Elephas maximus indicus: one gene and its partners. The protein of the gene in region 3 interacts with the protein of the main gene of each other region in a biochemical or structural test. Links are inferred from orthologs where the notes say so. Each region holds a gene or a part of one and is shown on either strand. Other genes may lie near its edges.

Evidence for each region.
Region 1: the proteins of CFTR (region 3) and NHERF1 form a complex in vitro, tested with the Homo sapiens proteins (9 studies listed by BioGRID and IntAct, with this or other methods). The link is inferred for Elephas maximus indicus from reciprocal best matches to the Homo sapiens genes CFTR and NHERF1.
Region 2: the proteins of CFTR (region 3) and CASK interact in a test that uses a peptide from one of them, tested with the Homo sapiens proteins (2 studies listed by IntAct, with this or other methods). The link is inferred for Elephas maximus indicus from reciprocal best matches to the Homo sapiens genes CFTR and CASK.
Region 4: the proteins of CFTR (region 3) and NHERF4 form a complex in vitro, tested with the Homo sapiens proteins (2 studies listed by BioGRID and IntAct, with this or other methods). The link is inferred for Elephas maximus indicus from reciprocal best matches to the Homo sapiens genes CFTR and NHERF4.

What each region holds. Positions count from the first base shown.
Region 1 is NC_064837.1:65,146,259-65,153,378, reverse strand, and holds the start of NHERF1 (Na(+)/H(+) exchange regulatory cofactor NHE-RF1), read right to left. Parts: upstream 3,021-7,120; 5' UTR 2,789-3,020; coding exon 2,348-2,788; intron 1-2,347. Other genes in the region: RAB37 (ras-related protein Rab-37), read right to left, coding at 6,531-6,566, 6,750-6,826, 6,907-7,090. UniProt on the Homo sapiens protein: Scaffold protein that connects plasma membrane proteins with members of the ezrin/moesin/radixin family and thereby helps to link them to the actin cytoskeleton and to regulate their surface expression. Necessary for recycling of internalized ADRB2.
Region 2 is NC_064846.1:132,417,555-132,424,509, reverse strand, and holds the start of CASK (peripheral plasma membrane protein CASK), read right to left. Parts: upstream 3,004-6,955; 5' UTR 2,979-3,003; coding exon 2,920-2,978; intron 1-2,919. UniProt on the Homo sapiens protein: Multidomain scaffolding Mg(2+)-independent protein kinase that catalyzes the phosphotransfer from ATP to proteins such as NRXN1, and plays a role in synaptic transmembrane protein anchoring and ion channel trafficking.
Region 3 is NC_064826.1:32,185,258-32,192,110, reverse strand, and holds the start of CFTR (cystic fibrosis transmembrane conductance regulator), read left to right. Parts: upstream 1-3,833; 5' UTR 3,834-3,845; coding exon 3,846-3,898; intron 3,899-6,853. UniProt on the Homo sapiens protein: Epithelial ion channel that plays an important role in the regulation of epithelial ion and water transport and fluid homeostasis. Mediates the transport of chloride ions across the cell membrane.
Region 4 is NC_064835.1:11,644,968-11,652,259, reverse strand, and holds the start of NHERF4 (Na(+)/H(+) exchange regulatory cofactor NHE-RF4), read right to left. Parts: upstream 3,019-7,292; 5' UTR 2,966-3,018; coding exon 2,950-2,965; intron 2,616-2,949; coding exon 2,507-2,615; intron 2,364-2,506; coding exon 2,290-2,363; intron 1,973-2,289; coding exon 1,761-1,972; intron 1,509-1,760; coding exon 1,319-1,508; intron 1,220-1,318; coding exon 1,083-1,219; intron 816-1,082; coding exon 611-815; intron 413-610; coding exon 216-412; intron 120-215; coding exon 1-119. Other genes in the region: NLRX1 (NLR family member X1), read right to left, coding at 4,048-4,369, 4,828-5,079, 5,895-5,981, 6,266-6,861.

The DNA of each region.
Region 1 (7,120 bases), on a different chromosome or scaffold from region 3:
GACGGGCACCCATGTGGCACCCACCTCACCCTCTGCTTTGTATTCTTGACCCCGGATGGCCTTCCCAGTGAGATGCCACCCATGCCCACCACTCTCTGCAGGCACTTTACCACTTAGACCTTTTTCACTTATGAGAACTAATGAAGATAATGTAACAGCCCTATTATGCAAACAAATTCAGGCTGAAACTAATTAGTAAAACTCAATTAGATGCTGCATATAGGAAAGGGATGCCTTTTAGGAAAAGAAAAATAATAACAACGCTTACAGTGTTTATTAACATTTTCTGCAACAACAGGATGAGTTCCTGTCTCTCACCCTACCAGATGATGGGCATTGTTTACTTGAGGGACTTAACAGTGCTGACTGGCCAGGTGGAAGGAGTTGGTGGCATAGAGCTGTGATTGGAATGCCTGGGCATAAAGGAGCTCAATTCAGCAATGAGTAAAATCCTACAGAAGGAATGCTTCGTGGAGTCCCATTTTACAGATGGGAAAACCAAGGCCCAGAGAGGTCCTGTAATTTGCTCGTTGACCTGAAACCCTAAGAGCCCTCGTGGTGGTGTCCCCAGGACTCTCTGGAGGTGGTTCTGCTTCCTTCTTCCAACCTAGCAAAGCACAAACAATTGTAGGCTGCCCAAGTGGCACGTGGCCATCGGGGGAATCCGATTCTGTGCTCACCCAGAGAACAGCCCAGCGAGCAGGAAGCCCACACGCTGCCTTTTCAGATAGCTGTGCGCGCGGGTGTTACGTCAAGCCTTCACGCACCCAGCAGCAAAACAAAAAGGGCAAAGGGAGAGCCGAACGTGACTGAAACTTAGGGGATGGGCATTTGTGTGGGTGCCCAAGTCCAAAAAAAAAAAAAAAAAGGGAATGGCAAATCAATGTCTCAGCACGAAGTTCAAGTTGGATTATTCTGTCTGGGATCAGAGGTCATCAGTTCCAACTCCCCAGTGTCAACCCCCTGCTGGGGTGCTCCTGCCCCTCCCCCTGCCCCTTATCAATGCCAGTTTGGAACAGGCAGGAAGTGGTAGCCTGGTGGCCCTCGCATTCCCAGTACCCAGCTCCGGCCGCACAGGGCTCCCGGTTACCTCAGGTCTTTCACTTGCACCAAACCCGTAGGCCCTCTCAAGGGCTCCACCTTCCACCTCTGTGCTGAAGTGTGTCCCTTCTCGGTCCGGAAGGCTCCTACTGGCACTGTGGACATGTCGGCCACTTACTGCCACCAGGAAAAGCTAAACAGGCTCTGGGGAAGCCCAGCCCTGGCCCCCACAGTCTGCACCCAGGGGCCTCCCTCTTCACTCTCTGGGGACAGGAGGCTCAGAACAACAACTTCTGTTTTGCCAGCTGCCCCTCCTGCAGCTGATCCAAATGGGATGAACCAAAGCGCCACTGGCCAGCTCGCTGTCCGGAGACGTGGAGGCCATGCCTACCTGCCCACGGTGCTCAGCGAGCCACTTCCTGGCCCTGTGCCACGGGCCGCCATCCCCAGCCCTCCAGCCATCTTTCTCCTCCCCCTTCAAGTCCTCCTTCCCGCTCCCTGATACAAGCTAGCGCTTACTCCTCACATTCCTGAGAAACATAAATCCTCCTGGGTGGCAGAGCCACCACCCCCGAGACGCCTCCGCGCCTCCTCCTCGCACCCCACCCCCACACACAGCCCTGGGACGTGGGGCTTCCCACCTCCTTCTTAGAAGTCACAGCGGACTTCAGGAGGAGGATGAAGTTCAGCGGGGCTTGGTTAATGATACACACACCAGCGGGCTGGGGGGAGGGGGTGCAGGAGACTCCTCTTAGCCACCCCTCCCCCGCCCAGGCCCGGGGCTGCATCTCCGCACTGAAGGGGACTGTTACTTCTCTGGCTTTTGGAAGTCGCCGCTCTCACCGTTACCCCAGCTTCAGTTCCCACCCACAGGGGCCGTGGAGGAAGCTGGCCCTTCTGGGGCAATAGAACACTCTCCCCCGCCCAACTGCGCGCTGGGGGTGGGGTGGCCGAGGAGAGGGCCCTGGGAGGGTCCTGCGGAGGGCGGGGATCCCCCACAACTAACTGGAACGAGAGCAGACTCGCCTGCGCTCCCTCCCCCACTGCACCCCCAAAAGTCGAAGGACAAGAGGTGCACAAAGCAAAGGCGCTCAGGGGCCCGGCCCAGTCTGGGGAGAGGGCTGGGGATAGCGGGAGGCTGCCTCCAAGCCTGCTCAGGAACTGCAAGCGCCGGGGTGGCGGGCGGAAGCAGTCCTCCCCTCTCCGCTCGAGTTTCAGAAAGACAAGGGAGGGCGGGGGCTGGGCGTCCGGGTCTCCCCAGCGGCTCCCCGTCCCAGACGCGCCGCCCGCCGGGTCCCGCACCTACCTGCTCCGCGTGGCTCTTCTCGGCCTCGCGCAGCTCGCTCTCGCCGCCATCCCGCTGCGCCGCGGTGGCGGCCGGCGGCTCGGCCGGCCCGGACCCCTCCTGGGCGCGCAGCAGCTCCTCGCGCACCGGGACGCCCAGCTTCTGTAGCTGCTCGTCCGTGGCGGGGTCGACCACCAGCAGGCGCACGGCGTTGAGCGCGGCGCGGATGCGGCTCACCACCTGTTGGTGGGTCTCTTTCTCCACGTTCTCGCCGTTCACCTCCACCAGCCGGTCCCCGGCCAGCAGCCCCGACTTCTCGGCGGGCGAGCCGGGCTCCACCAGCCGGATGAACTGGCCCGCCTTGCCCTTCTCCCCGTGCAGATGGAAGCCATAACCGTTCGGGCCCTTCTCCAGGCAGCAGAGCCGGGGCAGGGGCGCCCCGGTCGCCGCGGCCGAGCTCATGTTGCCCCGGCAACGGCTCAACGACGCCACGCGGGGTCCTGTCGAGGCTGAAAACTGCACGGCCAGCCCTTCTCCCGCCCTGAGAAGCCGGGAGCCTGGCGGGAATCCCAGCACCCAGACGGGTGGAGCTGACAGGTGTTCCGGCGGCGACGGCGGCGGCGGGCGCGCACTGCCAAAAACTGGGGAAGCTGACAGACCAATCCCTCCCTGCTCGGCGTCTGCGCGTTCGAGGACCGGCCCAGGCCCCTTATCCTGGGGGCCGGGCCGCGCCGCGGGAGTGGGCCGCCGCAGACCAATCAGAGACCACCGGAGGCTGTGTTCGGGCCGGGTGAACTCCGCAGGCCAATCGGAGCGTGTGGGGCGTGGCCTGCGCTAGGCGCAGCGCCCCGCGGCGGGCGAAGAAAGAGGCTCAGGAAGTAGAAGTGTTTGTTACCAAGTGGCCCGAGTCGCGGAGCAGGGCGGGGACCTGACGAGTTTGGGTACTGGGCGGAGGGGCCCCGCAGGCTCTGTTTCGGTTTCCCTCACCTGTGGCGGGAGTTGAGGAGACTCAGCTCTCGGGGGAAAGACTCTATAGCTCGAAGTCCGTGTGCGGCTGTTTTGAGTGAACCGCTGTTGCCGGGGAAACAGTTCCTGCTCCCGGGCAGCGAAGTTCCAGCGGCCTAACTTATAAGACCGGCGTCCAGCTCTGAATAACGTCTTCCTGTCTGTGGAGTCACTTTCCTTTGCTCCAGGACATGCTTATAGGGGTGCTGGCTCTGATCCCTGCGGGGAAGGCGTGAGGCTCTGTGCAACCCACTGAAGACAGGCCACTGCGGGCAACGGCGCAGCGGTTGGGTAGGGAAGCGGGGTGGGGAGAGGCAGAATAGACTCAGGTAACCAACCTCTGGGTACTCTCCACGGAGGAGAAGGCCCTGGCTATTTTCAACAGAGAAATGATGAACTGTTAGGACTATGACATAAGCCTTCTTCCAGCTTCCTCCTGCCAGATAAGGGCTGGTCAAAGGCTCTGTTAAGGGTGAGCTGGCCAATTGGGGAAATCGAAGGGTGAGGGGAAATCAAATGATTTTGGACCCCCAGTGAGGGTCCCTGTGTGGCGCCAATGGTTTGCTCTGGGCTAACCTAAAGGTTGGTGGTTTGAACCCACCCAGGGGTACCTCAGAAGACAGGCCTAGAGACCTGCTTCAGTAAAGATTGTTGTGTGCCTTAGAGTTGATTCTGACTCATAACAACCCTACAGGACAAAGTAGAACTGCCTCATAGAGTTTCCTAGGCTGTAATCTTTACTGGACGGGGCCCTGGTGGTACAGTGATTAAGAGCTTGGCTGCTGTCTTAGTTATCTAGTGCTGCTATAACAAATACCACAAATGGATGGCTTTAACAAAGAGAAGTTTATTCTCTCACAGTCCAGTAGTAGAATTCTGAATCCAGGGGGCCGGCTCCAGGGGAAGGCTTTTTCTCTCTGTTGGCTCTGGAGGAAGGTCCCTGTCATCAGTTTTCTCCTGGTCTGGGAGCATCTAAGCGTAGGAACCTCAGGTCAAAGGACTCAGTCTGCTCCCGGCGCTGCTTTCTTGGTAGTATAAGGTTCCCATGTCTCTCTGCTTGCTTCTCTCTTTTATGTCTCAAAAGAGGTTGGCTCAGGACACAATCTAATCTTGTAGATCTCATCATATAACTCATTATATCATAGTGATAGAATTTACAACACACAGTAAAATCACATCAGATAACAAAATGGTAGATAATCATATAATACTGGGAATTATGACCTAGCCAAGTTTTCAGATATTTTTGGGTGACAATTCAATCCATGATAGCTGCTAACCTAAAGGTCGCCAGTTCTAGTCCCCCAGCTGCTCCTTGGAAACCCTATGGGGCAGTTCTGCTCTGTTCTATAGGGTCACTACGAGTTGGAATTGACTTGAGGGCAACAGGTTTGGTTTCCAATCTTTACCGGAGCGGATCGCCAGGTCTTTTCTCCTGTCAAGTGGCTGGTGGGTTCAAACCACTAACCTTTTGGTTAACAGCTTAGCACTTAACCATTGCTCCACCAGGGTTCTACTCTGTAACACATGAGGTCACCATGAGTTGGAATAGACTCCACGTCAATGGGTTTGTTTGTTTTGACAGTTCTTCCAGCTTGCAATAACAGTCCCTTCTATGTGATCCCCCAGTCCAAGGTACATCTCAAAGAAGCAGTGGGCAGGGTGAACTTTCCAAAATACTGCAATTTAATTCTGAAAAACTCAAATGCTAGAGACCCAAAGCAGCCCACGTGAGTGATTGGATGGCCTGTGACCAGCCTGCAGCCCCAGAGCCTAGCAAGGTCAGGCTCCTCCCTGCTCTGGCTGGGAGAGGCCACCAAGAGCTTCCTTATCAGGCCCAAGTGGGAGCCGCTGACTCTGCTCAGAGAGCAAAATTTCTGCCTTTAAAGCAAATGCAGTTGCCTCCTAAACGTGCAGGACATTTCTCTTCCTCAACCCTCCCCAGGCTGCGGAGCTGGGGTAAAGGTGCCTCTTCTGTCCACTTCCAGCTGCTGGGCTGGGGCTTTGGGAGACGTGTGACCTTGGCCCCACAGAAACTCCTTGCTGACCCTCATCTCCACCCCAGATGTAGCCACATGACCTTATTTTGCACATGTTGTACTAGTTTACCTGACTCAGTAGGAGGGAGGTGAGGCAGTTTTGGCTCTGGTGTCTGAGAAGAAAAGGGCCTGGGGGTTGAGGGGTCAGGAAGGAGGCAGAGCTTGGGTTTAGGGAGATACAGGTGGGGAGAGGGTCTCTCGGCTATGCCTCCCACCTACTACGGGAGCTGGGGGTTTCTCTTTATGCAGATCTTAATCCAGGAGAAGCACTAGAGCTGCTTGAAAAGCGGCCTGCGGGGTTGCTTACTGCCAAGGGCTTGGGACAAAAAGAAAACCTTTTCCCTAGCTCTGATCTTAGGTGTCTAGGGGCTCAGGTAGAAAGGTCGATAAGATCAGGGGTTCAGGGAGGAGGGGCTTTCCCAGGATCTGAGGTCCAGAGAAGAGGAACCAAATGTTCCCAGGTGTTCCCATGTGCTTGTATGCTGGAGGAAAAGGGCCATGTCTCCAGAAGGGCAGTTGGTAAGGTCTGAAGGTAGCCAAACAGGCCCTAGTCTCTGTTGCTCCTGTTTCCCCTCCCTGAGGCTCCCAGCACAAGGTCCCATCTTATTGGGGAAGATTGTTCCCCTGGGAGCTGGAAGAAATGAGGGCTGGGGTCTGCTCAGCCTCTTTCCAGCTAAAGTAATAACAGGGACACTACCAGCCCTCAGGCCCCAGGGAATCGGGCAGAAGTGCACCAGTGCCCCCTGGTGCTGGCTGGAGCAATGCTTTCCTTGTGGCCAGAAGGCAGGCCCAGCCACACAGGAAGTCCTAATACTAAAAGATAACAGGGCCACCAGGTCCCTGCCCATCTTCCGGGGAACCTGGTGCCCTTTTTTGGTATTAAAATGAAATGTAAATAGTTTACCCTCCTCCAGATGCAGGGAAGCTACAGTAACTAGGGTAGGAGCTGGAGGACAGCTCCCTCTTGGAAGGGGCTGTGCACCAGGTCCCCAGCTCTCCCCCCATTGGCTCAGCCACTTGGGAATAGACTGGGTGGGGGAGATGGCTGTATCATCTGGGTCTCTGGAGCCTCCGCCCAGCCCCTTGGCCATCACACGAAGGAGCAGCAACTGGATCGTTTCTTCTGGGACTCCACATAGTCTCGGATCTGGAAGCTGGGCTCACCGGCCTGCTGCCTGGCCCTGTATTTCAGCTCCCTTGAATTGGAAGAAGCAGTGGTCTGAGCTGGGAGTGAGGAACAAAGCATCCTCCCCACTCCCACAGCCCTGACCAAATGGACTGAAGATGCAGAATGCAGAGGGGATCCTGGGCTGGGCCCTATGGGGTTCCCAGATGGTGCCGCCCTGCCTGTGAAGCTCCCTTCCTGGCTCAGGGCTCACTTGGCAATGGCCAGAAAGGCTAGCTCCACGTTCATGCCTGTTTTGGCGCTGGTCTCCATGAAGGGAACTCCATACTCCTGCCAGGAAGAGCCTGTTCTCAGGGCCAGTTGCCTCTGGCTTCCCCACCCCTCATCCCGCCCCACAGACAGTCACTTACCCTGGCCAGGGTCTCCCCGTCCTCTGAACGGATCTCCCTTTCGCTGCTCACATCCGCCTGGAAGCTTGGATGGGTTACTTTGGGGAAGGAAGGCTTGCCCCCAACTGGCCCTTCTCCTGCCCCAGCCGGCCCATCTTTCACCCCAGGAGTGGGTGCTGCCCACCCTTTGTGGTGGCCTGTAGGACTGAGAAGAGGCAGCCGCAGAGTCTGGGTG
Region 2 (6,955 bases), on a different chromosome or scaffold from region 3:
AAATTAGACTAGAGCTTTCATTTACTGCTACCAAGTAAGGTCTAATGCATAGTACGTAGGTGGGTGGGTGAGTAAGCAGGTGAGTGAGTGGGTGGTCAATTGGTCTTGAGAAGTAAAATCTATTTTAAAGTACTTTAAGGAAAATCTAAACCTATTAAGACCATAATAGTCAAAAACAACTCGTGATATTAATTTGGTATAAAAGAAAAAGAAAATTCCATAGAATTTAGATAGACATTAACAAAAGGGTTTTCGGTACAAGTGACCATCTTCAAGTCTTTCTGCTTAAATCCAGAGTTGAACAAATTCCAAGATAAAATAATATGCTGTCAAGGGTTCCTGAAAGAAAATCTCAAATGAATTTCAGTTCCCAGATCAATATATATGCTGAGACAATTTACCGGAGAAACCTTCAACCTTTACACAGGCTGACGAACACTATCATTACATTCTTTACCACTAGGGCTACCTTGAATTCATTAATTCATGGAATGGCATATTATAAATGGCACTGACCAAGTCAGATCGTGTACAATATGACGGAGATCTCACAGTTCAACAGCATTTAAGGTAACCACAGAGTACCTATCACCTCAACCTTTGCGTGCCTTCCCTCCGCATGCAGCTCTGCAACAGAAGAGATGGCTTTAGCTCTTTCAGGAGTGTTTCCTAAAAATATTCAATTACAAGTCAGCAGAATACTGACTGTGTTAATGTAAAGCTGACCGCCTCTTTTAGAGATGAAAAGATATCTCATCATTACTCTTCAAAACCTTAACTAATCAGAACTAGTTTTCAAAACTGATTAAAAGACGGTTATTTCCAGTCAACACAATATAAAATTTCAATCTCACATTTTCCAATTATGACTTTGCTGGCTCATTTACATCAGCTATAACTAAGACACAACAAACATCATTCACCTACACACAGAGTCATTTTGGGGCTTTTGGGAAACACCTAATTTACCTTCACTGGGCACTCCTAAAAATGAAAAAACAAAAAACCAATGAGATTTTGTATATATTTGTCTCTGTAGAACTGTGATACTCACATGTGGTTTTTAAGCATTTGACATGCAGCTAGCCTGGCTGAGGAAATGAATTTTGAATTCTACTTACTTTTAATTAATTTAAATTTAGAAACAGATACTCAATTCAGTTACCAGAAAACTTTTAGGTGTGTTTGGAACAACTTGGGTATATAAATCGGCTTTTTCAAATATAAATTTTAAGAAACCTACATATTCTGATCGAATATTTCTGATGAAAATTTAGCTTAGCATCACAAATGAGGTGTGCTGTTGATGTACAATATACATTGGATCTCAAAGACTCAGTATGAAATAAAGGATGCAAAACATATCATAATTTTTATGTCGGTTATATGTTGAAACAATAATATTTTGGACTAATTGCAAAAATTAATTTCCCCTGTTTGTTGTTGCTTTTTTAAAATGTGGCCACTAGAAAATTTAAAATGACAAGTGTGGCTCACATTATCTATCTTTTGAGCAGAGCTGCTTCAGAGCACTTCCACCACCACTTTACCAAGACACATTTGGATACCCTTCTAGCAGACGGGCTGATCATGTAACAATAGGGGCAAGGAGTAACATGTTCTCATATCAATCCGGTCTGAGTAAAGTGTGTAGCAAGCTCTGTTCACAATTTCACCATCTGAGGCAACACTGTAATGCCTCAATATGGAAGATAAAAAACGAGTTTTCAGCGCTTAAATTGAAATTGAGTACTGCAGGCAACTTAAAAGACAAGGAGTCAATTGCTCTAAGGTCTTGGCTTCAATTCCCAACTGCAGACCTTAAAATAGACAATAAAGCACCCCCTCCAGTAAATAAATAGATAAAATATTTCAGTGGTAGCTATCTTGCAACCCCTATTAAATAAGCGGAAATTACTCTTAAATCTCATCTCCGCAACTTCTAAAGCCACAGAATACACACTGAACTAGGAAATCAACTTCAAATTGCCAGCATTTCCCTCACAGGCAAATTAGCAGGATTGTGCACTTGGAATATTGTTTGACAAGAATGAAAAGGAAACTATTCAAAACAGATTTAAGGAATGGACAATTAGATGAGGAACTGCAGATTTAATTCTCAATCAGCACTGTGATTAATCTGATTCCCTGCCTTTCCCTAGTGTAATTATACAACACAGATAAAAGGATGAGCATTTGGACTGTCAGTTCTATATTCTAGTCCAGCCCGGTGACTCAAAGCAGACAGCTCTACCACGCCAACCACCATCCCAACAACAGTCGAGGGGAGCCTCGAAGACTGATTTTACAGTCATTGCATAACGAGGCGTTAAAAATTTGAATGCCCCCAACTCTCTCCATGTCTGTGTACAACAAGGTGAGGAATCTGTTGAAACTGAACGCACCCCGTCCGAAAGGACCCCCTCCAATCCGGGCATGGGGTGAACACAAAGGCATCTAATATCCTGCACAATAGGCACACACCCCACAATTTAAAATCCTGGACGCTCTTTCTCTTTCCACGCAAGCAAAAGAAATGCAAACTGCTCTTTTCGCTAATGGTCTGAGCCACATTCAAGGTAACAAAAACCTCAACTGTTCCCAAAAAGCAACTATAAAATCGGTTCTGCCACGTCCCTGTGCAGCCGTCAGAAAAAAATGCAGGCAGCAGATTTCAGCCGGCCCCACGCCTCATGGGGTGGCCGACATCGGCTCGTCTGCCTCAACAGATCGCTGAGAACCCCAGAGCCCCGCCGGGCAGGAGGTCCAGGTCCACGTCTATAAATACTTGAGGGTGAGGAGAACGCGGGAGGTGCAGGGGAGGGAGGGTAGGGGGCAGGCCCCGAGAGGGTGCGGAAGGACCCGGGCATCACTGAAATGCATTTTTCCACACTCCCGCTCCCTCGCGTAGAGACTCACTTGCCGATCACCTCGCACAGCTCGTACACATCCTCGAACAGCACGTCGTCGTCGGCCATGGTCCGGAGGGGACAGTGGCCGCAGCGTGGAGGACTCCGAAAACGGGGGTGGGGGCGCCAAAGAGCTCAGTGCCCGGCCCCGGACTCGCCTCCTCCCCTCAGGACCCGCGAGCCCTCGGTGCTGAGGACGCTCGAATCCGGCCGCTTCGGCTGCGAGGCCCGCAGACTGCAGCTCTTGCTCCGCGGGCGACCGCCCCGGCGCGGGCGGCGGGGCCGGGGCGCTGAGCGAGGGCGGCCCGGGCCCGGCGCCGCCCGCCCGCCCGCTGCTCCTCGCGCTGCTCGGGCCGCGCTGCCCGGTGTGCGGATCCTCGGGGACCGCGCGGCGCCGCGCTCCCTGTTAGTCAGCCCGTGCGGGCCGCGAGGCCGCGGCCGTTCCCTCTGCCCGGGGCCGGCTGCGGTGCGGCGTGGGGCAGCTCGGACTACAAGGGGGGCCGCGGCAGGACCATGGAGGGAGGATCGCCGCGGAAGGAGGTGGCAGCGGATCCGCGCTGGGGACCAGAAGGCGGTGGCAAAGACGCTCCCTCCTCCTTCTCCTCCTCCCGCCGCCGCCGCCGCCCGCCCGGGAGTGGGAGGGGGCTTCGCGGGACTGGCGCTCTGTGCGGGCGGGAGTCGTGGTCACCGCCTTCTGCTCCTCCTCCTCCTCCTCCTCCTCCTCCTCAGCCTCAGCCGCAGATCGGCCGGCGAGCCCCGCGCACCCGCTTCGCGCACACACGTCCCCCTCCCACTTCGGCCGAGCGGCTTCCAGAAGCACAGGCCCCGCCCACTCCAGCCCGAGGGGAGGTGGCGACCGAGGGAAGGGACCCAGGTTGGCCGGCGCATGCGCGCGCCGCCGGGACACGTCACGGCGAACGATCGGGCGCCGGGAATCTAGAGAGGGTGGGGGATGGCCCTAGGGGCGAGCGGGCGGCAGCTGCCGAGTTGGGGCCTGATCGGGGTCGTCACCTCCCGCCCTCCCGCGGGATGGGCCGGAGACAAAAGGCCCCCGATCGCACGCATGTACTCGGCTGTCTGCGGCGAGAGGTGCGGAACCCCAGCCACCCTCCTCCTTCTTTTGTAACTGCAGGAAGCCTTTCCCAGATTTCGCTGGGCAAGTAGGCACGGAAAGATTCCTAATGAATGGGAAGGGAAGAAGAGAGGTGGAGAGGTTGTCACTCAAAACTGTGCTAGGCGGCGGATGGTTTTAGTGCCACCCTGTCATTCCTTAATGAAGATGAGGGCTGGGGGAGGGGGGTCTTCCACCTACAAGAAGTGGACCGAACAAAAACTGTCCAGGAATGTGTGCAACAACAAAGAGTAATTTGTAGAATCAGCTCTCCCGCGTTCTGCCCCAAACTCAACAAAATCTGTTCAGCGCCTACCACACTAGAGACAGCCTAAATAGAGGTCAAGGACTTTAAGCCCCTTTGCATATCTTCCCCCCAAACTCCCAGCGCCTACACTGCTCCCTATAATCCCTGCAAATGTTAGACAATTCAGGATAAAAATGTAACTAGCGGGAGTGGATGCACACGGTCAGCCAGGGAGTGAGGTTCTGGGTGTTGCCGTTGTGCTAGATTCCGTTCAATATGAAGATTTCTATTCAACTGAGCATGTGCGGAATGAGCAAAAGCCATCAGACAGGTACATGCCTCAGTTACAGACTAATAAAAAAAAGTCTTTTGTTCCTCCGCACAGCAGAAGCTCTCAATTAGTTCTTAAGTCAGGTTCCAAAAATCATCTGGTAAGATTCTCAGTGCGGTAATAAAAATAAAACGATGGTATTTCCCAAAGGGGTGGGGTACTATGCAGACCCTCAGCCTTTTTTCTCTTCAGAAGTGTTTTGTTCCAACCCTTGGCCACTCCCTCAAGACGCTGGGGGATTCGCCAGCGTTAAGGATCTAGGTACTAAACCTTTTTTTTTTTTTTTTAATGCAGATCGCAGGAAAAATATAACTGTACAAGAAGGCTTTTCTCCTTTCCCAAAGAGCTTGCGCATTGTCTAGGGAAAAAGGCTGCAGTGCCTGAGAAGCCTTGCCTCCAATGAGGGTCCGACAGTTCTAAATCACTCACACCAAGTTGACTTGTCTGCCCACCACCTAAGGAATAAGGAGCCGTTCCATTCCGCCCTGAAGTGCACAGAGACCCTAACGCGTCACATTATTAGCTTCACTTCCCTTCTCCAGCCCAGGCCTGAGCTATGCCAAGCCTCATCGAGTTCATTTTAGTGTTTGTTATCTTCCACAGAGACCTATGCTCAGAGGGAGAAATGGACAATCGTAAGATAAAACAGAAAAGAATGTGGATGTAAACGAAAACAAAAAGTGACTGCAGAGGTAGATATGCTTTCTGCTCATGGAGCCCTGGTAACACAAAGGTTAAGCACTTGGTTAGCACTGAAAGGTGGGCGCTTGGAACCCACCAGCAGCTCCGCGGGATTAAAGACCTGGTGATTTCCTCCTGATCTGCTCTCGTAAAGATTAACCCCAACCAAAGCTACTGCCACAGAGTCCGTTCCGACTCATAGCGACCCCATAGGATTTCTAAGGCTTTAAATCTCTATGGAAGCTGACTGCCACGTCTTTCTCCCAAGGAGCCTGATGGTTTCCAACCTCTGACTCTTAGGTTAGCTGTGATCTTTTTCACCAAGCGCCACCAGGGCTCCTTCCGTGAACATTACAGCCTAGAAAACCCTATGGGGCAGGTCTACTCTGTGCTATGAGGTCGCCATGAGTCCTCGATTGCTGCTGACAGCCATCTGTACCCATGAGGGGAGGCAGACCTAAGATGAAGGTGGAACTGAGGGCAGCAGGGTGGAAATGGAGAGAAATGGTGTCGTTAATGACATGTCAATCTCCTTGTCCAGCCAACCCTCTAGACTTTCCAGTTATATAAGGCAATGAATTCCCTTATTATTTAAGCCATTTTGAGGTGAATTTTCTGTCACTTTCAAAAGAACCCGTTGCTGTTGAATCGATTCTGACTCATAGTGACCCTATAGGACAGAGTAGAACTGCCGCATAGGGTCTCCAAGGCTATAGTCTTTACAGAAGCAGACTGCCACATCTTTCTCCTGCTGAGCAGCTAGTAGCTTTGACCTGCCGACCTTTTGGTTAGCAGCAGCTCAGTGCTTAACCACTGCATCTGGTACAACCCATGAGAAAAAAAAATTCACAGACAAACATATGTCCATGGCCACATATTTAGCTAATCTGAACCTAGGTCTCCCAGTGCCCAGTGTAGTATTTAGACATACAGAAGAATTTCTCTGCAATGCACATCCCTCATAATTTGTATCATGTGGCTCAGCGGTGAAGCGCTTGGCCGCTAACTGAAAGGTCAGTGGTTGGAAGCCACCAGCCACTCCACAGGAGAAAGATGGGGCAGTCTGCTTCTGTAAAGATTCCAAATCAAGAAACCAAACTTGTTGCCTGCCATCAAGTCAATTCTGACTCATGGTACCCTATAGGACAGAGTAGAACTGTCCCACAGGGTTTCTAAGGCTGTAAATCTTTATGGAAGCAGACTACCCCATCTTTCTCCCATGGAGCGGCTGGTGGGCTTGTACTGCTGACCTTTTGGTTAGCAGGCGAGTGCTTAACCACTGTGCCTTAGAAACCCTATGGGGGCAGTTCTACTCTGTCCTGTAGGATCCCTATGAGTCAGAATTCACTCCAGCACGATGGGTTTTTATTATGGCTAGAAACAAGCTTGGGTGGTGCAAGTGGTTTGCAACCATCTGCAAAAACCTAAACGGTTTGCAGTTTGAACCCAGCCCCTGGCTCCACAGAGGAGAGGCCTGGCAAACTGCTTCCATAAAGATTACTGCCCAAAAAAACCCCTATGGAGCAGTTCTACTCTGTCACATGAGGTTGCCAATGAGTCAAAATCAACTAGATAGCAATGGTTTTGCTTTTTTTGCATTATGGTAAGGCGGTTTCTTTCTGTTTCTAGAACTAAAATAGCAAAACCTTTTAAATGAAGTTAATTCTTCTCTGGGT
Region 3 (6,853 bases):
ATGGTGCAAGCATTTGATCAGGGTAATATGATGTAAGAGATCAGTGGAAAAATCATCCTTCTTCCACTTTTCTATTTTTTAGTGTACTCAAGATGGCTACCCACTTATCACTATTAAAGCCCACTCTGAAGGAGGAATATCACTCCAATTAAATTGAACATGATAGATAAGTATTGTCAACGCTCACTGTCAGGCTCTCCAATAGTGAAACTTCAGCCATCACCTGGCAGAATGAGTGACCTAATTATCTCTTATAAAGGTTATCTCCTATAAACTTTACATATGTTGAGATAATTTGTAGCAAGTACCTGGTACATTATTGAATACATAGTAGGTATTTGTGATGGTTAGTTTTATGTGCCAATGTGGCTAGTCTGTAAACCAAAAACCCACTGCCGTCATGTCGCTTCCGACTCATAGTGACCCTATAGTACAGAGTAGAACTGCACCACAGGGTTTCCAAGGAGCAGCTAGTGGATTCAAACTGCCGACATTTTGTTTAGCAGCCCTAGCTCTCTGTAGCTCTTGACCACTGCACCACCAGGGCTCTCTGACTGATAAAGTACTCAATAAATATAAATATTGGCTTCTTTCATTTCTTCTCCTCCTCCCCCTCCTCCTTCTTTTTAATATACTTTTAAAATTATGCCACACAAATGACAACCTAATCTATATTTAAGGTCATTTCTCCTTAAAATATCAGGATATTCTGTCGGGGCAAACCCCAACCAAACCCATTGCCGTCAACTCGATTCCAACTCATAGTGACCCTATAGCACAGGGTAGAACTGCCCCATAGGGTTTCCAAGGAGTGCCTGGGGGATTTGAACTGCTTTTAGCAGCTGTAGCTTTTAACCACTACACCACCAGGGCTTCCTCTGTAGGGACCCAAACCCAAAAAAAACCCCAGTGCAGTAGCGGTTAAATGCTTTGACATGTAAGGTGTAACAGATTGTTTAGGTTCAAATCCCAGTTACCTCTGTAATTATTTATTGCGCAAATGGCTTGGGTAAATTACTAAATTTTTGTACCTCAGTTTATTAGTCTGCAGTACACGGATAATGAAGGAAGTACCTGTCCTGTGAAGGTGTTACAAGGATTAAACAAAGTAAAGCTTGCTGTGTATTTGGCACAGAACCTGATATGTATATGTTAAGTGCTCAACAAATGTTAACTAGTATAATATTGTTAGAAAATGCTGTGAGCTGGTATTTGGCTGTAATCCTTTACAATAAGATCCCTGGATCTTCCTAGTCATGCATGTATGCATACACTTAAAATGTAATATTACTATTAAACATTAGTTATTAAAATATATATATCTTCAGTAACTACTTGGTTCTTAGCTTTCTGGTTTCCTGTTTCATTCTTAAACAGGACTAGCTGTTCTGATTTCATGAAACAAAGTCCCTGGGTGGCAGAAATGGTTTGCCAATCTAAAGGTTGTTGGTTCAAATCCATCCAGAAGAAAGGCCTGGTGACCTGCTTCCATAAAGATGACAATGAAGAAAACCCTACAGAGCAGTTCTACTCTGTAACACATGGGGTTGCCATGAGTAGGAATTGACTTGACAGCAACATGTTTGGTATTTTTTTTTTTTCCCATTTAATGTGAGGAGAAAGACTGAGTTGGTGTGTAAATGACAGTATATAAATACATGAAGGATGGTTTAATAAGAAGCAATGGTACACACCTGTACAAGTGATGATTTAGAGTTAGACCTGGGTTTGAATCTGAGCTTTACTATTTTAGGCATTTTGCTTAACCTCACGTGTCTGTTTCCTCAACTGAAGAATGGGATAATAACACCAACTAACATGGAGGTTGTACTATTTATGTGCAATGATTCCTGGCAAATAGTAAGAACTCCAGAATTGGTCATTATTTTGTTTATTCTTTCCAGGGGAAAGAGACTGACAAATATTTGGGTTCTCCTGGAGCCAAATGACTTGGTCAGCTTCTATGATGTCCTTTGCAACTTAATCCCGTTTTTTGTCACTTACTGTTTGATAACAAAGAGGAGCTGATTACCAATTCATTTAAAAATGTGTGTATTAATTTGATCGGTCACACTAGCCCTTAGAAAGCAAACAACAGGGTGGGGGTGGGGAAGTGCATGGAGTGCGTTCAATCGACATACCTGGGAAAAGTCAACAGTAAAGACAGAACCTTGACTTTTATGTCACAGAAACAGGAATTGAAGCAAGGGATCATGAGTTAGGAATGCTGAAGTTTTTTGCTGTTATAGAACATTATGCAATTTGATTTAACTCTTTGGTTTTTATTTTCTTTGCATTTAAATTTAGAATAATAAAATGTCAATGTTTTAAAAATTAAGATAGAAAAAAAGGTGGCATTGAAATGCAAAGCAGAACCATAAAAACCAGTGGAATACATTCCTTAATTCAAACATATAGCCCTGTCTTCATGAAATGCACATTTTATTTGTACTTTATTTGGTTGACCACGAGTCAACAACAAGGTACACACAAGTAAACACCCTTGCCTTTGATGTGAAGCCAATAACGTAATCGGACTGAAATTTTTGCTTTCATTTGAATTTTTCAATTCAAACTCAATGTGCAAATGCTTCTACACAACAGAGTTCAGGAATTAAATTCCTGGCTCCTTAAAAACTATCAGACCTGCACACAATCCACACACCAAAAACTCCGATGTGCCCACGCGCGGGAAAGCCTAGATGCCCTCGGAGTGCTGAAGATGGCGTTTCTACGCGTCCGGTCAAAGTTAACTCGGTACCTTTGCTTCAAAGACGGGATTCTTTTCAGTGGTTTAGTCAAGATGTTTTGCTGACTGAGACTAGGAAATCCATAGGAGGGCGGGCTAGTTTACGCGCTGTTCACTTGTCACTGTCGTCGCGAATGCTCACAAAATTCTTCCTTAAAACCTCAAGCCGGACTGAAAAACTTAGGACAGGCAGTGAACAAATCCTGGGTGGGCAATGGGTAAAGCAATATCCCCTCTTACCTCCTTGTAAGTTTTTTTCCCCCCATAAGGTGTCTATGCCACACTTGGAGCGCACCTAAACCTGAAACTAACAAAGCTTGGCTCTTCCCTCTGACACCCAAAGGAAGAGCTAAGGTGAACACGATCACAGCAGACGCAGCCGCGGAACTTTCCGGCTCTCCAAGGCTGCATTTTGATACACGAGAGACACATTTCCGCTCTTTTCAAAATGCACCTTGCAAACTTAACACGAGCGTGGTGGCTAGGATCTCGGGAGAAAGGAGGAGGAAGGAGCGGGGAAGTTGGCGGCGGAGGGTCCAGGGTCGGGCGGAACCTGGCGCGTAGGACGGTCCAGGAGGCTTCCCGCGGGGCCGGTTCCCCTCCTGCCGGTGGCTGCTCTGTCCTCGAGTGCCGGAGACTGGACCTGGAGAGCGGCCGTGACTGTTGCGCACCTGTGGGTAAGGCTGGACTGTCGGGACTAGGACCTGCGAGGAGCGCGCATGAGGGAGGGAGGCCGGCACGTAGAACCGGGAAAGGGAGGCGCAGGGCAGCGAGGGAGGGAAGGAGGCGAAAAGGAAGGAGCGGTCGGGTTGCGCGCGGAGGGTGCGCAGGAGGTGGAGAAAGCAGCTTGAACAAATTTGGAGCCGGACCAGGCAGCGCTTGTCTTTCAACTTGGGCAATGGAGGAGGGGGAAGGAGCAAAGGAAAGGGGAGGTGTGTGGAGTGGGGGTGGGTCGGGGGAGTTGGAAGCAAATGACATCACAGCAGGTCAAAGAAAAAGGGGCGAGCGCCCGGCACTGCGAAGAGTAGGGCGAGTTTGGCCATTAAGAGCTACAGCCCAGTCATCCTCGTCAGGGACCCTGGCGCCCCGCAGGACCATGCAGAAGTCGCCTTTGGAAAGGGCCAGCGTCATCTCCAAACTTTTCTTCAGGTGAGGGGTGGCCGCCGAGCTTTGGAAGGATACGTGCCCGTGTGAGAGGAGGGCGTGTGTATGGGCTGGGTTTTGGGGAAAGAGGAATAGTTTTTTTTTTTTTTTCTAAAGATGCGCTAGCACGTTGTCATGAAAGAAAACGTGGATCTTGTGGAATGAATTAGAAAACAAGCGGTGAAGGAATGAACCGGAGGATTGTTTGGCTAGAGAGCTATAGTCCACTTGTAACTGAAAGTCAGACTCTCAAGACCTAAATATGCTATTGTGCAATTGTTCTGTATGATTTTCTAGAAACTATAAATTATGAAGTTGTTAGTTAACAAATATTTAAGTTTGGTCCGTTGTTTTCCAAACCCTTTCATGCTTTGAAAACTTAATCTTCTTGGCACATATACTACAAGCGCCTACCTGCATGTAGTAGTTGCTCAGAAAACATTTGTTGTCTGAATTTTGATTTTTTTCTTTGGGATGGTGGTGGCAGTATGTGCTTCAGTAAATTTTCCATTGTTATGATGTTGACTAGATCTCATAACAAGTATTTGCTACCATTCCATTATTCTTTCTTCTAAGAATGAAAGCAAACCCTTTGAAATATTTTTCTTAAAAAGAAAGCTAATTCTGTAGCTATAAATTAAAAAACGGAGTCAAAATTATCAGATCTGGAGCCACGAGAATAGATACTGAAGATATATCCAACTAACATTTAATAAATGGTACTTTCATCTTCTTTGCATGGAATGAGCCATAAAAGCTTGCAAACTTCCGCTAATGAGATTTTTAAAAATAGAGTTCCAGAGTTTCAGGCAAAGCATAATTAGATGTAGCATTTCAAATCTGAAGTGTTCTTTGAATACTGAATCCACTTAGTTTCTTTTAGTACACCTGTTTGATTGAATACTTAGATACAGCTCTCTCGTGGGATATAACTTGACTCATAATTCTCCAGTGAATCAGCATACTTAGGTATCAGAAAAGTGAAATTTATTATAAATACGTGCATATATGTGTGAGTGGGGAAGGAGATTGGCTTTTCACATCTCTCTAATGTTTTATTCTCTTCATGTGCAGTGAAGCCTGGAACTCAGGTACTAAAGAGAGGCCAGTGGCCACTGAAGGAGAGCTCCTCCCTGTGGATGGGAGAGAAGGACTTTGCTCTTTGGAATCACCGTTTGTATTGATGTTTACAGCATCTGTTGTTAGTCCATCAATAAAATAGTCTTATCTATAGATCTAACTTCCTACTACTTTACAAAATCGGGGTCTTGGTGGCACAGTGGTTAAGCATTTGACTGCTAACCAAAAGATTGACAGTTCGAATCCACGAGCCACTTCTTGAAAACCCTATGGGGTTAATTCTACTCTGTCCTATAGGGTTGCTATGAGTTGGAATTGACTCGACGGCAAAGGGTTTGTTTTTTGTTGCTGTTGTTACAAAATCAGAATGCTAATAAGCACAAAATATAGACTTTTTAGCAGAATATTTTGAAGAATCTAAGTGCCAATCAGCCTAAAACTGCAGTTTTCAAAAGAGTGAATATTTCACAGGTACTTCCAAGTACTGAGTATGAAGAAACCCTAAATTACCTAATTGTTGATTTATCAAAGTCGTTTTTTTTTTTCCTTTTTGCTCATCATCTCATAAATTTTAGTATAGATTACAAATGCTCTCAGCTTGATATGGAAAGAAATGTATTACAAAGGCTGCTTAAATTGTTAAGAGCATACTTACTCATGTTCTCCAAACTATTTCGTAATAAGTTGCTCTAGGAAAAGGTGCCTTATCTGTAAAAGTTATGGTAAGTTCTTACTATTATTAGTAACAGAAGAGCATCTAAAGCCCCAGTGATTATAAACTTCCTTCTGGGTTAGGCAACATTGCTTAAGTTGTCAAGAGTGTTAGGAAGCTTTGAATTCAGACTGTTTTGATTCATATCCCAGAACTACTGCTTAGCAGCTTTGTGACCTGAGACAAGTTGTTTAACATCTCCGAGTTTCTGTAACTTGACTTTTAAGACTTGGAGACTCATAGTTCCTATGTCAGAGGGGTTAATTAGCTGAGAAAATGCTTGTAGAATGTTTAGCCCAGTAAATATTAGCTGCTATTGTTATTTACCATGTTTTTTTTTTAATTCTTTGCCATTACCTCTTATTTATATGAGATGCTCAATTCATCTTTGTTGAATACAGTTTTGTGACTATCTGTCTGTATATGAAATGAATGGGCATATGTGAGAATATGGAGCCCTTGTGGCATAGTGGTTAAGAGCTCAGGCTGCTAACCAAAAGGTCAGCAGTTCGAACTCAGCAGCTGCTCCTGGAAACCCTATGGGGCCATTCTACTTTGTCCTATAGGTTCGCTATGAGTCGGAATCTACTTGCTGGCAACGGGTTTGGGTTTTTGGTTTATATATATGTATATGTATTGAACTTATGAAGGTTTACAGAACAAACTAGTTTCCCATCAAACAGTTAGTACACACATTGTCGTATGACATTGATTAACAAACCCACGACATGTCAACCCTCTCCCTCCTCAACTCTGGGTTCCCTATTACCAGCTTTCCTGTTCCCTCCTACTTTCCAGTCCCTGCCCCAGGGCTGGTGCACCCCTTTAGTCTTGTTTTGTTCCATGGGCCTGTTCAGTCTTTGGCTGAAGGGTGAACCTCAGGAGTGACCTCCTTACTGAGCTGAAAGGGTGTCCGGGGGCCATGGGTTTTTTATTTTATATGAGAATTTAATTTGGGTAAGATCTCATCTTGTATAGCCTTACCAGATAATATAAGAAAGAAGTCATATGCTTGTATCATACGTTGTTAAACGCCTTAGAATTTAGCTTTCTGAATATGATCCCTTCAGTTTCAGAATAATATAAGAGTAAAACTGTTATGTTCCAGGTTATGGATTATATTAAATATCTTTTTCATTGTCTAGGTTTTGTTACTGGAAAAGGAATAG
Region 4 (7,292 bases), on a different chromosome or scaffold from region 3:
AGTGCAGCTGTGTCTTCAGCTGGTGGGTCCCTGGCCTCAACCAAGGGCACTGAGAGGGTGTCCTGGGGAGAGGCAAGAGCCTCTGTGGTCTCCAAAAAGAGGAGTGGGGACAGGCGGACCTGGAAGGAGGCAGACAGAACAAACCTGCTTTTCTCCCTCTACCTGCACCCTGCTCCACTCCCACCCCCACCCAGCCCTTGCCCCTCAGCTCGCACCATACTGAAGAAGCGGTCAGCCTCAGGGTCAACAACAACGAGAGAGACGCAGGAGCCCTGTGCCCGGATCCTGGACACTATTTCCTCATGGCCCAGCCCCTCCACGCTCTCCCCAGCCACAGCCACCAGCCGGTCCCCAGCTTGCATCCCCGCCTTCTCAGCTGGGAATCCTGGGTCCACCTCCCGCAGGAACTGCCCTGGGACAGAGACATCCATTGTCACTGCTCCTCCCCTATCATCCCCATGTGCACACCAGGGGACTGGCTCAGGGCGTACACAGGAGGAGGCCCAGGGCTAGGCTCAGAGAGGGATCTCTTATGTACACTGAGACCGGGACACTTGTGTGCCTAGCCCAAGGCCTACCTTCCTTACCCACCCCCAGGGCTCCCACTCACCGAGGCGACCACCGAGGCCCTTCTCCTCACGAAGAAGGAACCCAAAGCCCTGGGGCCCTTTCTCTAGGTGTAGACAACGGGGTCTGGTTGGCAGTGCCCAGCCCTCTGCCAGGGGTGCAGCCAGGGGCATTCCAAGCTGGCGACACTGTTCCTCCACCGCTGGCCCTGCCACCAGCAAGGTCACCTGCTTTCCACTTTGCTGAAGCTGTGGGGACCCAGCAGAGCATCAGCACCAACCACCTGGGTAGGGAGGGAAGAGGCCGGCCCCTCCTCACAGCCCCTCCTCCCAGGCACAGGACTGAGGCACCAAGGGGAGGCAGTAAGGACCGTGCCACCAAACTGTCAAGGGAAGGATGGAGATGAAGGCACAAGATCAGAGCAGACATGAGGTACAGGGGCAGGGGTGGGGGGGGGGTCTGCTGGCCCTAGGACCAGATGGGTGGAGGGTGAGTGGGGAAAAAGGCAGCCATACCTTCTTGCTGAGTTGTTTATGAGTGAACTTCTCCACATTGACCCCATTCACTTCTAGCAGTCGGGCCCCAGGGGGCACCCCTGCCTGCTCAGCTGCTCCCCCAGTGCTCAGCACCAACCAGAAAGGACCCTGCTCTCCTGGAAGAAGAAAAAAAGCAAGCTTCAGTCTCCTGCCTGCTCAGAGCAGGGGCTGAGAGCTCCCCTCTCCTGACCTCCCCACCAAACGTCTAAGCTCACCATGGGTGATGCTGAAGCCAAAGCCACCCTTGTCTTTCACTATGTGGCACAGCCGGGGCCTGACCCCAGGGCCTAGGGTAGGACAGACTTGAGCATCGTTGCCGTGCTGAGCTCTGGCCACATCATGCACGTGCCGCGCCAAAACCATCAGCAGCACCCGGGGACCGCTAGCCCGGATACGGCGCACCACCTGAACACAGGGCAAGTGGAAGGGGTTGGGGCTGACCCTTCATGCCAGCTCCCCTCCCTGGCACCTGCATTTTTCACCAGAAGAACCAGCTCTCTGAATGCCTTCACCACACCCTTCCCTTTCAACCTGGGCACCCCTGAATCCTGGGGGTGAGGCTGGGCCCTTCCCCACAGTGCCCCAGGAGGTAGCAGATTCTCTGTCCCTGGGGTCCTGTGGAAGACTGTACCACAGAGAGTTCCAGCCCAACCTCACCTCTGCGTAGCCTTCATGTTCCACGACATGGCTGTTCACCCCCAGGATCCGGTCTCCTTCTTGAAGACCCTGACGCTGTGCAGAGCTGCCTGGCTCCACCCTGCACACCACATGCCCTGCTCCTCCCAGCTCCTGCTGCAGGTGGAAGCCAAAACTCCTGCCCTCCTCTTTGCTCAGCAGACAGAAGTGAGGCCGCTGCAGGCTCCAGGGATCTGGTGGAGAAGTCACGCAGCAGAAAAGGGAGGAGAGAAGGTGTGGCCCAAGGACAGGTCACTGTGTGCCAGGCAGACCCTGCCCCCTTTATAGGGCACCAGGCAGGCTTCCACCCTGTAAGGTGCTGGGTGTGGGCAATGTGGCTGGGACAGAAGGAAACTGCCTAGTCCCCTCCTACCTCCATATAATAACTCTTGGCCAAGGCTGCTATCAGAGGGAGACAGAAGTAAGTGGTTACCACGGGGATGGGAAGCTGGGTGGCACTATGGTGCCTCCCGGAGGAAAGGAAATAGCTGCCAGGGGGTGAGGGGGTTACCAGAGAAGTCGTGGTCTTCAGCCAGGGAGAGGACAGGATTATCAATCCCCAGCTTTGGGTTAAACTCAAACTTCCTGCAAGGAGGCAAGAGGCAGGGCAGAGAAAGCTTAACATCTGGACTTGGCTCCCAGTTTCAACTTGAAGTGCTAATGGCAGCTGGGAACTTCCTCACCTTCTATCCCCTCCTCCCCTTGCCCCAACCCTTCGTGACACTTACAGAATTAATGAGTTTGTGTCCTGAAGATCGGGGGGCGAGACGTGGTGAGCAGAGGACAGGCACATTCTTCCCTCCAGACTCCTCTCCCCATGGTCAGAAACTGAAAGGACTTAGGGGAACCCCCGAACTCAGGACTTGCCCCTCAGCTCTGCTGCAAAGGGGTCTTCCCTTCCCACTGATGTCATATACCAAAGATATTTCGCATTCCCATCCCTCCTCCCCCAAGTCCTCGGCACAGAAATCTAAGCATATCAGTGCAGGGCGTGGACCAGGAAAACAAATCACCTCACCTCTCCTCCCCTAACTCCAGTCTATTTGCCTCAGGGCTCCCAGCCCCAACATCCAGTGGTGCCCTGGTCCCAGAGCCTCAGCCTCCATGTCTGCCCCAGCTGCCCCAAAGTCACCCCCACCCAAAAATCTTTCTCTCAGCCTCCTCCTCCTACCTGCGGCTGCCTCCATAGCTGGATCAGCGATCCAGGGCTCAGGGTAGGGACAAGGTCCATCGCAACCAGCTGACCCTCCCTCCTACCCCAGGTCCCGCCTCCTTGAAGATGCTGCCATGGAAGCAAAGGGGTAATGGTTAACATGGATAAAAGTCTTATCCTCTGGGGAAGTGGGCGTGTTCCTCCTGCCCCCATTCCTGAGTCCCAACTTCTTCTGGGGCCCCATGCTGCTGTCCAGCACCCGCTATGTACAGAGAAAGGCAGATGGTTGGTCACTGCAATTCCAAGCCCGGGGCGGGGGGGGGGAATATGAAAAAGGGGATAAAATTCTACAGCCCAGCATGACCTACCCCCCTCCCAATATCTTGTTCATGGGCTTCTCCCAGCCCCCACAACCTCTGAGCCTGGTGTAAAACAAAGTGGTCAGTAGTCTCACTAGAATTATCAAGAAGAGCAGCACCCAAGGAAGAGGAGGCATGGAAGACACACAGCTTTTTAATGGTAGCAAGTCAGGGCACCTGCCCCAGGGGCCACCGAGCCATAGGTACCATTTTGGTAAAGGGGGTACAAGGGTGAGGAGAAAGCACCAATGTGAGAAGAGAGTGACTGCAGGCATTCCTGGTGTCCACAGATGGGTTATGAAGGTAGGAGGTGGAGGCTGGGTCTGGATGGATGGAAGTTTAGACCCTCCAATGCATCTTCCGGATGGCAGCGCCCGTGGCATGATGGACATAAGACGTATGCCACCTTGGTGGCATAACCAAAGGGTCCTTGGGAGAGGCAAGGTTGGGGATGGTACTACAGGGCAATGTGGCCATGAAAATGTCACATCCTTCACCCCTTTTAGTAGAAGGGAGAGGAGGCATGTTCCTTCTACAAGCCCAGAACACCGACTCCCCACCTTTGACCCTGGAGATTGCAGGCTTGGGGGCACTGGTTGGACATGTCCTAGGACCGCAGCTGGCACAGCTGTGCCCATTCTTTTGCTTCCAGCCCTTGGAGAGGTCTTTCTAGAAGAAGTCGTACAAGCTAGGAGGCCGCAAAGGAAACGGTTTTGGGGGCCAGTGGTTACACAGCTAGGTGCCTGCAGCCACTTTCTCAGCTTCCAGAGGCCCCCAGCTGCTCCAGAAGGGCTTTGACCTCGCCCTCCACACGCAGCATCTGGGCCTTGCGCCAGGGATTAAGGGTGGCACCCCGGCTATCTTCCAGATCCCGCAGCAGTAGCTCAAGGTGGCGCCGGACCCGAGCCCGATCCCAGCTGTTGAGGTTCCGCTGGACTTCACTGAGGATCACTGACCAGTACTCGGACACTGCTGTCCCCTCTGTCAGCGATGCCACGACTCGGGCACCACCTTCAGCTGTGCCCCTCAAGTCTCGCAGAACCTGGCGGCCTTCTGAGCTCAGTTCATTGAAGTAGAGGCTGGTATGAGAGAGAAGATAGAAGCCAGTCAGCGGGGCTCTGAGAAGGAGGGGACAGAGGGTAGATGGCAAGAAAATCAGGTGGTCTCACTGGTTGTGGAGTGCAATGGGGCAAGTGTCTGCAATAAGCCAGAGATAGAGAGGGTGGCCAAAGGGAGGCAGGGACTGACATGAGAACCCCACAAGACCAGGGACGGTAGGAATGGGGCCACCAGGACCACAGGAGAAATGTGCTAGGGAATCAGGACAGGGTAAGGTCCAGTCACTGAGCAGCTAGGGTTGGCTCAGAACCAGGATGACAAGGATCAGTCAGAAGCCAGAAAGAGAGGATAGGCATCAGGCCTAGGACCAGAGCGCCCCCTAGGGGAGGAAAAGCACAGTGGCAAGAGGGAAGTAGGACTGAGGAGTGGGAGGCCAGGCTGAGGGTGGGGATGAGTCAGAACCAGGGGGAGGACTCACTGCAGCAGCTCCAGGGAAGGGTGCTCCCGGGCAGCCTTGGCCAGAGCCAGGGCTGCTGTGTCGCCAGCGCCATTGTAGGCCACGTTAAGCTCCTGCAGCTGCTGGTTGCGGTCCAGCTGAGAAGCCAGCAGCTCCAGGCCCTCGTCCCCAAGATTGGTGTGCAGCAGGGACAGGTGTGTCAGCGAGGTGTTTCCCGCCAGCCCCTCCATCAGCAGTGCTGCACCTGCCACCGTCAGTGGGTTGTTGGACAGCCTATGGCCACAATCAACCACAATCAACAAAGGTTATGAGGACCCACTGCAGGTCCCTCCTCTGCATTTTAGGACTTGCACCAAAGGGGTGTACAGCCTGGGGCCGAGATGAGCCTAGACCCCAAAAAATGCAGCCCCCAGGAGAAGAGGAGGCAGAAACAGGGGTGTGGTACATGGTGGAGGAGGGAGACTGGGGTAAAAGCTGACTTCTCCTTCCTCTTCTCCTCCTTCACCTTGTTATCCTTTTCTCCCTGATTCCCTTCTTCCCTCTCCCCTTCCTCCTCTTCTTTACTCTTTCCCTTCTTCCTTTTTCACCCCCCTACTCCGCCCCTGCTTCTCCCTTCCCTCTAGCTCTCACATCCTTCTCTCCTTCCCTCCTTTCTCACTCCTCCTTCACATCCCCCTGCTCTAACCAGAAATCGGGAACCCGGGAGTCTTAATATTTGGGAGTCTTAGTTCCTGGTAAATCAATCAACACTTTGGGAGCGTCCACTGAGTGCCCAGCGTTAGGGTTATCCTTGTGAGGCTGCAGGGAACATCCTAGCACTGTTACCATGCAGCCTGCCTGGATATTATTCCACCCCCTCGTTCACGGCCCCCTCCCCCTACACAGGCTAATTTTAGCCATGTGAGAGGCTTTCTAAGCACCATTTACTGGTGGCATCTCCCCCCTGCCCTGCTGCTTGTACTGGACCTGGGGGTAGGTCAGAGCCTGAGTCCTACAGCCTTTACCACACTGTGGGTGGGGCTGTGCCAAGTACATACGAGGCAGGGATTTCACCCTTGACCTTAGATGCCCCTTCCCGAGGCACTCACCGCAGAGTGGTAATTTGGCACTGGTCATGCAGCAGTAGGTCTCGGAGGTTTCTGCAGGCCTCGGGGCCCAGGCTGTTGAGTTGCAAGCTGGAAAAGGAGAAAGTGGCCAGAGGGAGGGGAAGAACAAGGAAAAGAGACCAAGGCAGGAATTCAGCATGGTACCTGCTTTCTCACCACACTGCCTCTAGCAGTCCACACCTGCTCTCCCTTCTGCCGTTGGTTCCATCACCTCCACCCACACCAAACTTCCTCATCCCACCTGCTGGGGCTCCCTTAGGACCTCTGGTCCGCCTACCCTCTTCTTTCCCATCTCTTTGTCTCCACCCCTCTCTTCTCCTCATGCCTGTGCCCAGGGGCAGAATGGTCCTCACCCCAGCTTCCGGGCACGCAGCAAGACAGGCATGAGTGTGCACAGCCCAGCAGCCTCCAGCTGGCAGGAAGCCAAGTTCACCTCATCCAGGGCATGCTTCCCACTGCCTAGTACAGCTGCCACCACGGTGCACTTGAGGGGCGTCATGCGCACACCAGCCAAGTTGAGCTGGCGCAGAGAGCTGAGCACCTCGGCAGAGAAGCGCTGATTCTGGAACTCATAGTGGAAGAAGAGGTAGTCAAGAAGTTCGGATGGGGGCAGCACCTGGCGGCCCCGTGTGCCCAGCTTCTTCTTGATGGCCCGGGCATTCTCCAGGACATCGAGGTTTTTGATGGGGCAGCCAAGCTGAGCCAGCACAGCCCGGTTGTGGGCAGAGAGAAGCCCTCCCACGAACATGGGGAAAAGCTCAAAGACTTCATCCTCTGGGGGCTCATCTGGGTGGCGCCGGGGGCCCTCCACACCCAAGATGCTGGCACCCATCTGGTCCAGAACGTCGTCGTTGTAGTAGTCCTCCTCCCGGAACATTTCCAGAACCATGGCCTGGGCCACCGCCTCCTGGCTCTTACCCACCACGCTCCCAAACATTCGTGGAACCACCTGGGAAAGGAAGCAAGGGAGAAACACTGGAGCCTCCTGCATCCCTTCAGGAGCACAGCCCAGGCCTGTTCAGTCTCCGAGGCAGGCTCAGCTTAAGTTCCTCCCCTGACTGCTCCAGCCTAGTGATTTCCTCTCAAACTTGCAGCACGTTGTATCTGATCACACCACTCCCCTGTGACAACACCTCCCATGGCTCCCCAGTGCCCGTGTGGCAAACTCTAAACTCCCTGGCCTGGAATATAAAACTTTTCATAATCTGGCCCTAGTTGGATCTTTCCCAGGTCACCTCTCAACACTTGTCTCATGCACTCCAGACACTGGAACTTCTTTTTCTCTAACACCCCATACAATTTCAGCCCAGGGGAAGGATTTAGCATATACTAAAAATTTAGTTTGGTACTGGGCTAGGTGTTATAAATATGTCACCATCA